2 linked regions of the Diceros bicornis minor genome follow. The protein of the gene in region 1 interacts with the protein of each later gene in a biochemical or structural test. Links are inferred from orthologs where the notes say so. Each region holds a gene or a part of one and is shown on either strand. Other genes may lie near its edges.

The links.
Region 2: the proteins of SKP2 (region 1) and CCNA2 are reported together in a solved structure, tested with the Homo sapiens proteins (2 studies listed by BioGRID, with this or other methods). The link is inferred for Diceros bicornis minor from reciprocal best matches to the Homo sapiens genes SKP2 and CCNA2.

The regions. Positions count from the first base shown.
Region 1 is NC_080759.1:32,941,681-32,949,728, forward strand, and holds the start of SKP2 (S-phase kinase-associated protein 2), read right to left. Parts: upstream 3,024-8,048; 5' UTR 2,899-3,023; coding exon 2,855-2,898; intron 2,354-2,854; coding exon 2,082-2,353; intron 1-2,081. UniProt on the Homo sapiens protein: Substrate recognition component of a SCF (SKP1-CUL1-F-box protein) E3 ubiquitin-protein ligase complex which mediates the ubiquitination and subsequent proteasomal degradation of target proteins involved in cell cycle progression, signal transduction and transcription.
Region 2 is NC_080750.1:15,146,772-15,154,287, forward strand, and holds the start of CCNA2 (cyclin-A2), read right to left. Parts: upstream 3,029-7,516; 5' UTR 2,767-3,028; coding exon 2,554-2,766; intron 1,774-2,553; coding exon 1,530-1,773; intron 223-1,529; coding exon 110-222; intron 1-109. Other genes in the region: BBS7 (Bardet-Biedl syndrome 7 protein), read right to left, coding at 4,966-5,099, 6,020-6,143, 6,274-6,377, 6,507-6,616. UniProt on the Homo sapiens protein: Cyclin which controls both the G1/S and the G2/M transition phases of the cell cycle. Functions through the formation of specific serine/threonine protein kinase holoenzyme complexes with the cyclin-dependent protein kinases CDK1 or CDK2.

The sequences.
Region 1 (8,048 bases):
TTAACTGGGTTTACGTATTGAGTGTTATGTGCCAGGCAGCACGCTAAGAGCTTTACGTGTGCTCTGTCATCTAATCTTCACAGCAGCCCATGAAGTGAGTATTATCACTCCATTTCACAAAGAAACTAAGGCACACAGAACTCAAATAACTTGCCAATGTTGATAAACAGCAGAATAGTGATTCAAACCCAGATTTGTCTGAATTCACCACAATCCTTCGCTGCCTTTTTAATTAACCAACTCCTGATGCAGATTCCCAGACCATAACTTGAAGGTTCTTTTTCCTAATGAAAAGGTCAAAAACCAAAAAAACCCCAGATTTTTTTAAAGCAAAGCAAGCAACCAACCAACCAATCAACGCTTCTGCAAAAGAAGCCAAATGGGAAGAATTTAGGAATATACTTATTTATGTTGGATCTGCAAGACTTCATCTTTATTTCTTTAATCTCTTTTTCTCCATTGCCCACCCAATTTCAGTTTAGACTTATCACCTCTACTCAGACACTTTCAATAGCCTCCTAATTCTGTTGACTCTAATGTCAGAATCTATCCAGAATCTGACCAGTTTATCACCAAGCCCATACCTCTTAACAAGTCTCTAAACTTCTACCTTCAACCCTCTACATTTTAATCTCAACACATGAATGTGTCCTTTTAAAAGGTCACATCACAACTCTGCTCACCACCACCTCTAGCCTGATCTCCCACTACTCTCCCTTCCCTCCCTCCACTCTGGGAGTATGGCTTGCCTGTTGTTCCTTCAACAAACATGACACGCTTCTGCCCCAGGGTCTTTGCACTGGCTGGTCCCTCTGCTTGCTGCTCTCTTCTCCAAGGTATTTGCATAGCACAGTCCCTCACCTCCTTTATGCCTGTGCTTAAAGCTCACTGTCTAAGTGAAGCTTTCCTTCAATACCCTGCTCAAAATTGCAATCCATCTTCCCACTCTAGTCCTTCCAATCTCTCTTGGCTTGTTCTATTTTTGTTTTTAGCTATAGCACTTATCACCTTCTAACATACTACCTACCATATTTATTATGTTTATTGTGTCCTCTCTCTAGAACAGAAGCTGCACGAGCATAGGAATGTTTATGTTTTGCTCACTGCTGTATCCCCAGCACCTAGAACAATGCCTAGCACATAGCATGTTGTCAGCAAATATTTGCTGAATTAGTGTTTTAAATGACTTACTAGCAAGAAAAACTGATAACCCCAGGTCAATGCACTATGTTTACCCTATGACTGAGTACTCTTGGGGTTCTCTGGGAGACACTCTGGGAGGCACTCTCTCACCTGCCGAGAAGACTGGGAATGGGGAGCTATTAAGAGGGGAATGATATAGTGAGTTCTACATTTCAACCAGTCCACTCTAACTCTGGGGATGGATCTGGGGAGGATAAGGCTAGAATTCTGAGTCCATTCCAATAGTTCAGGCAAGAGATGATGAAAGCTTGAGAATATTTCTGAGACAAGAGGGAAAGATTCAATGATTGGCTGGATGTCAGGGGATGGTGGGAATCTGAGTGACCCTCAGATTGTTGGGTTGGGTTGGGTTTAATGCTGGCAGTAATGGAGACAGGGCATGCCAGAGGAAGCCCATTTGAGAGTGTACTTGGGGAGATAAGTCTCCTCCACTTGTGTTTAACTTTCACTTTAGCAGTTCTTAGACAAATAACTAAAGTGATTATAGCAAAAAGCTCAACCAGGGCTATAGAGCAGCAGAATATAAACAAAAAGAATCCTACAAGAAGATCTTTGCTTATGTTCCCATTTATCAGTGGCACTGAGCTGGCTTTTGAGCAGGCAGATTCCCTTCTAAGGAAAAAGGCAGGAATGTCTTCTCATGGGTTAAAATTTCACATGGATCAAAAGTCAATTGTGCATTAGAAGATATGTTCCTACCAATATTCCTGTAGACTTCAACGACAATGAGTTGTCTCATTTCTTTGGAAAATAGCTTTAGAATTAGGCAATTTTAAAAGGGCCCCATTCTAAAGATCCCTGAACAAATCTCCATTTTGCACAACAAACTAGTTCAACACACCCTTTGGGTGATTGACAGTTTTACCCTCATACATTACCTGGAAAGTTATCTCGATTTAGCTTAGGTCTGCGAACGATCACAAAGTCCTTGTCATTCCCTTTGCTCTTCAGCCGTTTTCGTGGCGGGCTCTGCGGATGACTCAGGTTTGAGAGCAGTTCCTGGGGGATGTTCTCACTATCCACCTCCTCCTTCTCCAGGGCGGAGACCCCCATGCCTGACAGCAGTTCACAAGTCTTGCTAGAATCCCATCCCCACGTGAAACTGGTGGTAACGTTGCTACTCTGGTCGGGAATCTCCTGGAGGTGTTTCCTGCAAAGATGCACAATAGCCACCCCGCTTCTTTCTACAACACACCCGTAAATAATTCCAAGGTAGGCCTAAACGGAATTGCCAGTTACGCATTGTAGAAAACTTTCACAATAGCTAACAGAATTGCATTTTTTACGTGATGGTAGCGAGTTCCCAAGAATGAAAGAGAAAATAACCAAACAAATCGAAAAGGCTCTTTGATTTACGATCATGCAGAAGGCCTCAAGAATTTCTTAAAGTCGAGAGAACAGACAAGGAAAGAAAGAGGGCAATCACACAGTGATTGAAAACAGTAGCAGGGAAGCCCAATAAGGGGAGCCTAATAAAACCGCACGCTGATCACCGCACTAAAGCTTCCATCCATTCGCGCTTTCCCAAAGAAGCGGCTAAGCAATCATTCGCATTGCAGCATTAGTAACAATATTGCAAGTAGCAATATCCGCGGCCTAAATGAATTAAGAAGGTCCATTCATGTTCTGCCCCATTTTGCAATCAGTTTACCTGTGCATGGCGTCTACAGGTTCGGGAGTTTTAAATGCGTGCATTGACTGCAGAGCTGCCCGCCTCCCGGATTCCCGCTTTGGCGCGCGGCGGCTCACAGCGTGCTGCTGCAGCGTGCAGCAGCAAGACCCGCGAACTCTAGCAACGTTCCATCCCCGCCGCGCGCGCAGAGCTCTTCTGCCCGCTCTCCTCCGCAGCCGCCGTCTGCGGCCCCCTGCCTGCTGGGAATTGTAGTTTCTGCCCTGCCCCGTAGTCCGCCTGGCTCGCCACTACTCTCTTTCCTTGCAGCTTTGCCCGCCCTCGCGATACCCACAACCCCCCGCGGCTGAGGGGCTGCAGAGCCCACGGAGTAGGCGGGGAAGCGGAAGTGGGCGGTGCTTCGGCTGACTGAGAAATGTCAGCTGCTTGACTGGGGCCGGGTTTTCCTTTCCCGCGAACCCGCAGGCCTTCTGGTGACCGCCACCGCTGTCGCCTCGGCGCGTGGGTCCCAGACCCTGGACGGCTGTGGCGGACGCGGAGTTTCCTGGGCCTTCCAGACGCTGTCTGGCGAGATCGGACGGTGGGCCTGAGGGAGAGAGCGTGAGGCGCTTTGGGTCTGGGGCCGCGCGCAGACGGACATCGAGAGGACCCTGGAGACCCCGGTTGGCCGCCGCCGCGGGGCCCACGTTCCCGGAAGCTGAGTGGAGGCGGTAGCCCGGCCCACCGGCCAGGTGAGAGGCTGCGAGCCCGGGGCGTCACAGCTGTTCTCCCCTCTCCCAGGAAGCTGCCTCCTCCACGGAGGAGAGGGCGGCCCTTAGGACCGGGTCTGTGGGCAGGATCCTTTGCTCACCTGTAAACTAGGCACTGCAACGACGACGCTCGTCTCCCAGGCTTGGAAAGAGGGGCGGATAAGATAACGCGTTTTGTAAACTAAAGCGCAGTTCGAACGAGAGGCGGTGGTTTAGTTTTAGGGGAGCAGGAGACCATAGTGGCTCCTGTGTGCAGTGGGAAAGCTGCGCATCCCCTGGCAGCCTTGACTAGTCTTATAAGGGCTAGCGTGGGAACAAATCAGGTGACTATATGTTTGCAAAGGGCTTGACAATGCAACGCTGCGAGCCACCAGCAAAGCCATTCGGCTGCGCTTGCTCAACCGGTTGTGTCTGGGGTTGCGTCGCCGCCGTCAAGACAGCTGCTTTTAGCCTATCTCTGCGGAGAAGAGTTGGGGGGCGCTTAGAGTAGGGAGCGTGCCATATTCCAGGTAGGATGACCATGCGAAATCCGTTGTGCAAACTGTACTGTTAACTGTGAACCCGGGAGAACAGTGGAAGAGGGAAGGGGAATAAATTCCGACCCTAAGGAAAATGGAGAGGATTTAAAAAGTTCAGAAGCAAGCAGGCCAGCCTCATCTCAAAAATAGTAGGTCACTATGCTGTGTGACACACTTTATTTAAAGAAGTGATTCTTAGTTGTTTTAAAAAAAGGATTCATTTCTTTAAAAAACATGAATTAAACCTCCTTTGCCCACGTCTGTGCTTGTTTCAAGGTTGGTGCTTAGCTTGAAAAGTAACCACTTCTTAAGAGAGGAAAGTATTCATGAAGCTTCAAGTTGTTCTTGAAAGTAGGTGGAATTGGTGTAAAAAGGGGATCTGGTCACAAAGTGATTTTGGTTGAAACTAGGTAAAGAATACTATGTAGAATGTTCACAAACCATTAAACTAATAGTGTATGGAAAATATTTTTAAATGCAGTATTCTGATTTTTTACATAAAGTCAGTTTTATGTTACTTTGGCTAAGGAGAAAGCAGTGGCCTTCCTTTGAAATCTACATCTTTTCCCTTAAAATTGCAACTCATTAGAGAAAATATATACATATATTTTTTTTGGTGAGGAAGATTGGCCCTGAGCTAACACCTGTTGCCAGTCCTCCTCTTTCTGCTTGAGAAAGATTGGCCCAGACCTAACATCTGTGGCAGTCTGGCTCTATTTTGTATGTGGGTCATGGCCACAGCATGGCTTTCGTGAGTGATGTAGGTCCGCGCCTGGGATCTGAACCCACGAACCCCAGGCCACTGAATTGGAGCTTAACCTGGAACTTAACCACTATGCCATGGGGCCAGCCACTAGAGAAGGTATTTTTAGCAATAAAAGTTATAGTCTCCTTCAGGAAAGTGAACAAGACAGAGGAAGCTTGTAAGTAAGGGAGGAGAAAGAATAAACAAGGAAAAAAGTATTTAAAATGCCATGATGAGAATAAACAAAGTTTTGAGATATAAAGTAATTTGGCAAGGCCACTTTAGATACAGATCTCATAGATAGAAGGTCTAAGAGATGGGATGATTCTAAATTTAAAGATGAGAAGTATCCTGTTCAGTCTGGGACTTAGCTAGTAGTTGCTTGAGAGCTAGGGAACATTTCTAGTTCACAGAATACTTGCAGTATCTGAATTGGTGGACACCAGATCCTCTGTAGGACTTCAGAGAGAGCCTTTCAACTCTGCAAATCGAAGTCTTCTAATACTAGAATAGATATTTGACTAACACTTTGCACTCACAAGAGAAACGCTGTAGCTTGCTAATATGGGCATAATTTTTTTCTGCATTCCTTCTAATCATGGCTGTTCTCCTAATATAGTAAATAAAAGTTTAATTTGGTATATGTGGTTCTGTTTAATGTAAGGAATTGTGTCCATTGAAGACTTGAGATTACTAGGTCACTAGAGATTGCTGCCTGGTCTCTTCAGGAACTGCATCGTGATTGCTACTGATGTGGATTTTTTTTATTTTCCTGATTAATTTCATTTGTTTGATCTTAGCACACCCCATGTCCCATTTTAGTAAAAGAGGTATACCATAGTTCTAGAAGTAGAATTACTAGATCAGTATCTACAACAAATGAATTATAGTTTTTTTTTTTTAATATCTGCAAATGACTGTGGGATGAGTTATTTCTAGTACTCATTGGAAGCTTCAGATAGAATACTAAGTGACTTTGTAAATTGAGAAAGTTATACAAAGGGGCAAAAGCATAGTTACAAGGGCACAGGAGGGGCCAAAAAGGCCTGGAAATGATATTTGACTATAAGCTATAGTCAAATATATATATATGTATATATAAGCCATATATATACAGTAGTATATTAGTGATCTTTTTGAAAATCAGTAAAACAAAAGAGATTCTATTTAAATAGAAGGGTGATGTGCTTTTTCTTTACTTCCTGAATCATAGCATGAAGTAAATCTTAAAATTCTTTTCTTTTTTTTTTTCTGTGTTATTTAGCTTAGGGGAACAAAAGACTAAGAACAATTACATAGCAAGAAGTTTCTATCTGCCAATCAGATTTCAAAAGAGTTATTTTCCCTTGATTAATTTTAAAGTAGACCTTTAGTTCTCTGCAGTTTAGTGCTCTCTCTGATGGACAGATTAGGGCAAGAACAGAAGGGTTCTTCCCCAGTTCTAATTTGCTCTTTTTACTTTTCCCATGTAGATTAGAGTTATATATTACCCTTAGTAATGGCAGTATTACTTGCAAGGTAAAAAGGCTTAGTTAAATTCTATATTAAACATGACTTTCTTAGCATTCTATCTTCATATATCTAAAGGAATAATAGGAGAATTTCTAATTTGTTCACTATGAAAACTGAACAAAAATGATTTAAATAATTTAAATTGCATTAAAAAAGTATGTTTGGACTGGGGAAGAGACCGTGTAGTATCCTAATTGTGAGCCAGGCTCTGTAGTCAGGATGCCTCGGTTTGAATCCCAGCTTTGCCACTCACCATCTGTGGGAACGTGGACAAATTACTTACCCTCTCTGTGCCGTTTTCTCTGCTATTAAACAAGGATACTAACACTCCTTTCTTACTGGGTTGTGAGGTCTAATTCAACAAAGTGTGTTAAGTGCTAGCACAATGGTTGGAATTTAGTAAACTCACGCTAAATGATAGCTATTCCTTTTTAAAAAATTATTTTGTTATTAGGAAGGACTCAGAGTATTCTACAGTTTCCAAAATAAGTCTTACAATGTCTATACCAGAATTCATTACAAATCCGGTTGTTTTCTTCTTACCTGCTTACATGGTTGCTACCTCCTCTCTCATACCTTGGCAAAGGTGAAACAGTTGATATTTGTCTATCTTCCAAATGGCTTATCATGCTTTGGAATTCAGTTCACCTGGTTGGTTTGCCACCTCAGCTTATTTTTTGAAGATAGCTTCAAGAAATATGACTTTTTCCCATTTTTAGAGTGGGAGCAATATTCTCTTCTGGTATTCTGTCTACATCCTAAGCTGAATTCTCTCTATCCCTGGAGTCTTTAAACATAAGAATAATGACTATCTTCGGAAGATTTATATTTTGATTGGTGGTAGAGAATTGTTGACTTTCATCACTCACGTCTAGTTCAGATTCTTTTGATTTTTCATTAGCAGGATCTTGAGTTGTCTCCTAGTTTTTGTTACTTTATGTATCTGAGTAAAGATACATGTTTAAGTTAACATAATCTGAGTCTGATGAATCATTAGGTTTTAGTCAGATAGTCTGACTGACAGTCAAATTTTTCATTCAGTTTCAGGATCTTTGGTTTTAACAAAATTTTTGTGTGTGTTTTCCTGTTCATTTATTATGAATTCTTCCTTCCTTCCTGTCTCTCTTTCCCTCAGGAAACAGTACTCCAAGTCAGTATCATTAACAAGCTAATTATGAAAGGAATTTGAAGGTAATATTGTATAATATATTGATTATTGGTAGAACACTGAATTGGATTTTAAGTGTTTAGGACTTTCAGAACTGGTATTTTGAGAGGTAGACTATGTCCGCATATTAGATGTTAAAATTCGATTGAATGAAAGAATTGGCATTTTGATTTTGAGTAAAATCTACTTTTGCTGCTGTGGTGTTAATGCCAACCCATGACAGCTTTAAGTCTCTTTTTCATTTCTTATCACATGGAACTGAATTTTGATTTGCCTCAAATTTTAGTATATTCTTCTTGTTTTCCATTTAGCCTAAACACATTATTTTAATATTTAAAGAATATTATTAGAAGGACCATTGTTGTGCTCAGAGGCCTATTTCCCCTTTTGCCCTTCAGTAGTTTTTTTGCACAGCTGCACATGGTTACAGTTCAGCATATAATCTGGAGTAGTCTGCCTCCATTTTGATCATGTGCCTAGAAGGATGGTATTGTCTTTCTATATGACATTGGTACGTCAAATG
Region 2 (7,516 bases), on another chromosome or scaffold:
ATTAGAGTAATTTACTAACCGTAAAAAACTTAAAAACATTATCCTCTCAATTTCATTTCTCCAAATTGAATAAATAACATTATAAAAAGTGGATTCAGAGAGCCTTTACCTCCATTTCCCTAAGGTATGTGTGAATATCCTCATGGTAGTCTGGTACTTCATTAACACTTACTGGCTTTTCATCTTCCAATACAATTGACATGTCCATAGCATGTGGGGACTCTAGGAGAATCCAAAAGTGTGATTAAGTTCACTGTTTAATTTTCTATTTAATTTAATGCTAAAAGTGATTGCCCTTGTAAGGATTCCCATACTATGAAGCATTTACTTCATCCAACTAAAAAGGGCTCCTCAGGACAAAGTACATAGAATATTTCCCTCTGGTTTTAGTACATCTGTCCACTTAGCTTTGGAATGATTTTAGTTAACAAGAAAAAATACCGTTAGGCCACTAACAGGAAAATGAGTTTGAGGATCAGGCATTATGTTCAAGTAGCATTCATCTTCCAGGAGAGAGAGGAGTAGAGGGCACGGTAGTTCTGTTAGGACAAACTTAAAATCGAAGTTTTGAGATAATATCCAGGATTTGCCCCATGAGTTTGCAGACCCCAAATATTCAAAGCACAATCTAGGCAATAACTAGAAGCAAGGCTAACAAGTGTGTTGATGAGAAAATTAGGTTTGTTACTGACAGTTCAAATTAATACTACAATCAACAAGTGATTTATTTTTTGTAATTTTAAATTATCTCTGGAAGCAAAGAATATCATCCATTATTCTTTTTACTTCAAGGTTCACTGACTTAAAATTTGTCGCAAGTTTTAAATAAAAATACACACATTATTTCCAAAGGGACTTGCCTGCTATTCCCAGACCACCTCTCATCAATAGAAGTAAAACTAAAACAAGATTGGATTTAGTGAGCTGACCAGGCACTCCACAGCCCTATGGTGAAGAGGCAGCACAAACTGGGGACACAGCTGTCTACAGCAGCTGCTTTGCTTAATATGTGGTTCAGCGCCAACAGCCACGGTTCAACTGCTGACTCACAGGAGGACAGTGTCCCTCTCTGATATCAGACAATCACGCAGACCAGTTTTACAGAAACAAAATTTTAAAGCTGAAATAGATGTTAGACATCACAATATTTAAAGCTGCATCCTCAAAGAGCATTCTCTGCAGTGGTATGTACAAAGTAAGTCTTATGACTACAACTGAAATCTATTCTCCCAATCAAGCAAACATTTCCAGGGTCAGATTAAAATAAGTGAGATTCAATTAAATTGATGTGATTGGCAGTGTACCAAAAGGAGCACCTGATCAGGCTCTGGGTCCTTTCGTAGGTCATTAGGTCATGTATTAGAAATGAGGCCTAAGTCACACCCTTTCTAAACTTGTTACATTAAACTTAACTCATTATCTAGTAAGGATCAGGTAAGATAATGTCTTAAAATGCAAATTATTGTTAATCCAATCTATTTAATAATTATAATTACATTGATCTGACACAGATGTTCTTTAAAACTTACCAAAACTACCATCCATTGGATAATCAAGAGGTGCCAGTGGTTTTCTTGGTCCAGGCAAAGCAATAGCTGAATTAAAAGCCAGGGCATCTTCACATTCTGTTTTTTTAGATTCACTTGACCTCTTGTGAGTCTCTTCTTCTGCTTCATCCACATGAATGGTAAATGCAGGCTGTTTACTGTTTGCTTTCCAGGGAGGAACAGTGACATGCTCATCATTTATAGGAAGATCTTTAAGAGGTGCAACCTAAAAAGAAATGAATAACTGGCTTTGAGGCTATTTAAATGGAGTTTTGCTTTCTTTTATGGGTCTCAGCCTCCGGTTTTACTCCCAAATACTCTATCAGGAAAATTAAACTTTTTGGGGCAAAGGCAAGGATTTGAGGGATTGAAAAAAGAAGGGATGTTCCAATTTGTCACACGCATTCCCAGGAAGGTTATAGAAAGAGTCATACTAAGTGGAATTATGCAAAACTAATCAAGGCCACAAGATGGGTGGAGCGGCAGGCCGAAAGATGACAAGTTTAGGAGAGAGATGGCAAAAGTGTCGGTTCACCACTTTCGCCCCAGGGTGGAGCAACAGAGCAAATCCGGTAAAATGGCGGAATTTACCAAAAGCAAAGTATTATTATACCCTTTCGTAAAGCAGAGTAATCTCTTAACCATATGGGGAGGAGAAAGGGGGTCTGGGTCCTAGAGCAGCGCCTGGGGTTTAAAAGCAGAGAGGAAGCCGCAGAGTCGTGCAAAGACCACACTCATGTTGTAGGGCTTGGTGTGACCCCATTATCTATAGAAACATACCTCAATAGAGATCAGACAGGCAACATAACGCACAGTGCTAGCAAGGAGAGGAATGGGAGAAACTACCATAGTGGCATCCCACATGCCAGGAAACCAGGGATCAAGGGGACTCCAGACCGAGGCCTCCCTAAAAAAGCCCAGAGGATGCTTTCTCGCCACTCCTCCGCCTGCTAAACCCACGCAGAACTCCTGCTCGGCCCACCCTCCCGCAGATAGATCTCTTTACCCGTCGCGTCTTGGGCCTCTGCTGCGGCGCTGGACCCCGCGCGTTCCCGGCCTTCAGCACCGCCAGCCGGGCCCGGGTCCGGGGCTGCTGGGCGGGCGCCGCCTTCTCGGGGTTGATGTTCTCCTGGTCCTCCAGCAGCGCCGTCTGCTGCAATGTTAGCAGCGCAGAACCCGCCTCGCGGGCCGCAGGCCCGGGCGCGGAGCTGCCCAGCATCACTGCTCCCGGGGGCGCGGCGGGATCAGCCTGCGGCGCCAAGCAGCGTGCACTCCGTCCCGCCGACCGGCCGCGCAGAGGAAGGCTTCAGCCGTGGCCGCCCGCCGCAGCCCGGGCCCGCCTGCGCGCGCGCCCGCTCGGGATCGCGCAGGACCGGAGAAGTTGCGAAAGGCGCAGACAGGCACTGCCGGGCGTGGAAGGCGACAGACGCCCCCGAAAAGAAGCGAGCAGCCCGCCGGAGCGGCGGCTGTTCATGCAGTTCAAGTATCCCGCGACTATTGAAATGGACCAATGAACAGGGCCGCGGCCGGTGACGTCACTAGAGGCGACGCGGTCGCAGGCGAGTGAAGGCGGCCGCGAAGGCTACCGCGTAGGGGCGGGGCGGAGAAACGTCGAACGGCGGCGGGAGGAAGGACGCCTGCGCCGGCCGGGGAGGCGGGGCCTGAGTTTAGGGTGACTTTAAACGGAGCCACTAGGCAGGCTCAGGGCAAGGGCTGGCTCAAGGATAAACTGAATTAACCTGGAGCGATTACTAGTGGGCCGCCCAGCCTTTAGCCCCGGGACCTCCAGTTAGCTTGACGGACTTGCTTCCCATGGTCTAAAATCGGGCCCGGCCACTCGCGGGCCTCGTAGTCTTCAGTGTCTGCGTTCGCAGTCCTCTTATGTCATTGGGAGGAATGCTATCCACACGTCATACGGTTGTCGTTAGGATTAAATAATGTGCAGAAATCACTTAACACGCGGCTCACGTGGTAACAGGTACTCAAGTGGCAGACTATAAGGTCATCTTAGTATTTAGGGGTTTCTTTAGTCTTATGCTTGTTATTTTTCCTAATGAAGATGCAATTAATTTAAGGTGCCACCTTGAACTACTTTTGATATATATCACAAATAGGAATGTACTACAAGAAATTCAACTAGACAGCCATTAATTTTTATCTATTTTTCCCCAAGCTGTGGCAGCCAACACAAAGCACCCAGTGAAATTCTGGTGACCTAGATATAATTATGTGTTCCATTTAGAAATGAAGGTTGTTTAAATACAGTAAAAACAATAAGACCTTATTAAAATAAAACTCTTAGCAATATGTGCCTTCAACAAATTTTCACATTTAATATACAACAAAGCTTGCAGATAACTAATAAATATAATGGTATATAATTAATAAGCATTATTGTTTTCTGACAAATTCATGCGTGTGCCCTTCTTGAAAACAGAAAGAATAGCTTATTTTCCATTATAATCTTTATGGCATTTTAAAACAACCTTTAAATACAATATTCCCCTGAATGTGAATAAAGATGAAGATTAATGAACAAAAGTCCCATACTCTTAAAGTCATATTTCCCTCCATATATGATAAAAAGGAAATTAGTGGATACCAGTGCAGGAAAATCTAAGAAGCCATCACTATTATTCACATGTAGTAGACTTATATAGCTCTACTGGGTACACGACATCAAGTTAAGATCCCCCCAATCTGTGCAAACTCTGCTTATTTCCCTGGGCACAATTTATAGCACTGAGCCAACTCAAGCATTTCATACACTGAGTATGAGTCAAAAAATATTACCAAGCAAGATCGAAATCAGTTCTAAATCAATCTCAACTCCTAGAAAAAATAATTGGTAGGTTACTTCTACTGGATGACAACATACATAGTAAGCAGGCACAAACCAGGCACCAGAACTTAGGTTCTGGTCCCAGCTTTACAAAATAATAGCATGTCCTCTTAATCACTTAAACTCACTGAGAATCAGTTTTCCTATATGATTTGACAAAATAATAATAATAAATATACGTTGTGAAGATCAAATGAGGTAACATATGCAAATACATTTTGAAACCTTTACAGTTTATATATGTGTGTAGCCTGTTAAATATTTGAATATATTTTTATTTTCCAAATATTATTTCTCAATTTAAAAGTTAAAACATCCACTTGCAAAATATCCACTAAAATCTCTTATAATCATTCCGGTTTTTTTTTTAAATTCTCTTTATTTTTAAAAAGCTCCATTTGTCAAAAGAAATAGATGCATTACTAAATATCTCAAATATTTTTAGATGATATTACACAGCATCTGAAATAAAAGTGGGTACAGTTAGCTTGTAATTCTGTTTTAACATTTTTCATTTAAACAGACTTCTTTGAAACTTTACCTTGTTTACATTTCATGCAGCATCAAAGATACATTTCATGCAGCATCAAAGAAAGCAATTAAGGCATTTTGGTCATAACTGTCCAGAATCTCCAGTAAAAGAGGTACTTTGGTTTTTACATTGGTGCCTTTGAATTTGAACTTATCTATGAAAAGATCAGTGATCATGCCTACAAAGAAAAACATTAGTTCTAATTAAGACACAGTGTTTAATGAAAGTAATTGCTTGAGAATCGATTTCTAAGCACCTGTAATTCCATTATTTAATATACACAAACCCCAAAAGACTGATGCTTAAAAAATATTTATTTTGGGGCGATTTTAAGACAAGTTTCAAAATATAAATCATTTGGCTAATAATCCTCTTAACAACTGGTTACAAGCTATTAATTTAGACAATCAACTGCTGACCAGTTTTGAACTGCTACTGGTATATATAACATCACAACAAGCAGTTTATTTTTCCTACCAAGCTGACCATTTTGACATAGTGTAGACAGATTCTATCCCTAACAGCTTTATTTGAATTAAAGTATTACATTACATAGTGACCATTCTTGGGATTTGACTTGAAGGCAAATATTCCTAGGTTCCTCTTGCTCTCACTCTTTTTTCAATACAATTTGTGAAACACCTAACTTCTCACCACCAAAGCAAAATGAGTTTTGAACTGTAAACTGACACAGCCCATACACATATCCCTTATTAAATTTTGCCTAAAAAATATTAAATGCTGCAATTTGATATTTCACAATAGCAACAAAACCTGAAAATTATTTGTGTGAAATATAGCCTAAATTTTAATGCTTCATAGGTAATATTCATTTCACACCCGGTTTCTTCATATATATAGATTAATTATTGCATTACACTTATTTCACTTCTTAATTTTTACTTGCATTTTATCAAGAATATTAAATATTAAAACTAACTTGACAAAATAAATATTTGGTGCAATAAATTGGTTGTCACTGGTTCATGACTGCTATAATCTCTGCCTGTCTCCTTCTGCCCAGCTTCTCTCACATGATCCTTCGCAAATAGCCAGTAGAAAAGAAATATGGCAAGGTATTCTAGAATGTCCACTAACCATAGAGTCTTTCAAGATGTGCAGGTTGCTTTTTGTATTCTTCCTGGAGATGATCTGCCTCTTCTAGAATACAGCGATATTCTGGTATCAGAAAGTTTGTATTTCCCTCATGAACCTGCAATTCCTTATTTAAATTTAAAACAGAAGCACCTTAATGTTCAAAATTCAATCCAGTGTAGCTTTAAAGTCTTTACAATTTTAGAAATCTCATTACAATAAAATAATGATCATGAGTCCATGACACATTTACTTACTTTTAAAGCATCAATTAACTGCACTTTCTTAGCCAAAAGCAGCTGGTACTCCAGCTTTGGGTGGATTAGCTTTAAAGTGTGCTTGACTGAGACTTCATTTATTTCTAGAAGGAGTTGAGCCAAGCACAATTAGGTAAGTCACTTTGATCAGAAACACTCTTATTGTAACGACAACAACCAAAAAAACCCCAGAAAGAATGATTCATTTTTCTTTCTTTCTTTTTTTTTTTTACCGTATGATATGTTGAGGTTAATTTTCCTTTTTGTAGCTTCTTTAGACAGCACATCTTTTAGGATGGATATAGCAGAAATGTTGTCAGATTTAAAAACTCCTTCTCCTTTTCTATAAAATTAATATATTTTTTAAAAGAAAAGCTTTAGAAGAAAATACATCAGTAAATATGTCCAGTAAATACATATTTTGTGACTAGAACCTAGTGTTTAGATTTCATTTGATTTTAGATTTCTTTATATACATATCTTATTAATATAAAGAATATTTAAATACTGTTATATTACCGTTATATTAATTCGAGTTCTGAACATACTTGTAAAACTAAACAAAACTTGTCAGATATACGTCTCCTAAAGATATGACAATTTATAAGTCTTTCATTTAAAACAACTTTTTTTCATTTTCTCTAATAAAACTTCCAATAGCTAACCCCTTATGTATATAAAATGCATTCAGAATTGCTTACTTACATATATGTTTTTCTTTGATATAATCACATAAATTACAGCGTGACTATGTGTTTCATCCTTAAAAGAAAGCTGATATCAAACCTAAGAGTAACATCATCTGTTCTTCCATTGCCACTTCTTCTGGTCACAGGACCCTTCCTTCTCTTCAGGGAACCACTCCTCTCTCTCACCCTTCTCAATCCATATGGTTTTACTGGCATTGGCCTCAGTCCCGTCTCTGGGACCTCAGGAGGAACCATTTAGCAGTGTATTCCATACCCCTGACCACAGCAGTCCATGGCTTGACAATGATACTCAATCCTGGACTTTTACTGGAACTAGTGAGAGAGAGGCTCTATGGTAGCTGAAGAATAAGTAGAGTTTCGACTGTTAAGAAAAGAATATTTAAGGACACAGAAGGGGAAAGTGTAAAAGTGTGCTATTATAAAAATATATAATATGTCAGAGGCATATCAAAATTGTCTGCTATAATTAAAGTGTGAGGTTCACTGTGGTACTTCAAAACAGGGGTCATTACTACAGGTTTAGACACAGATAA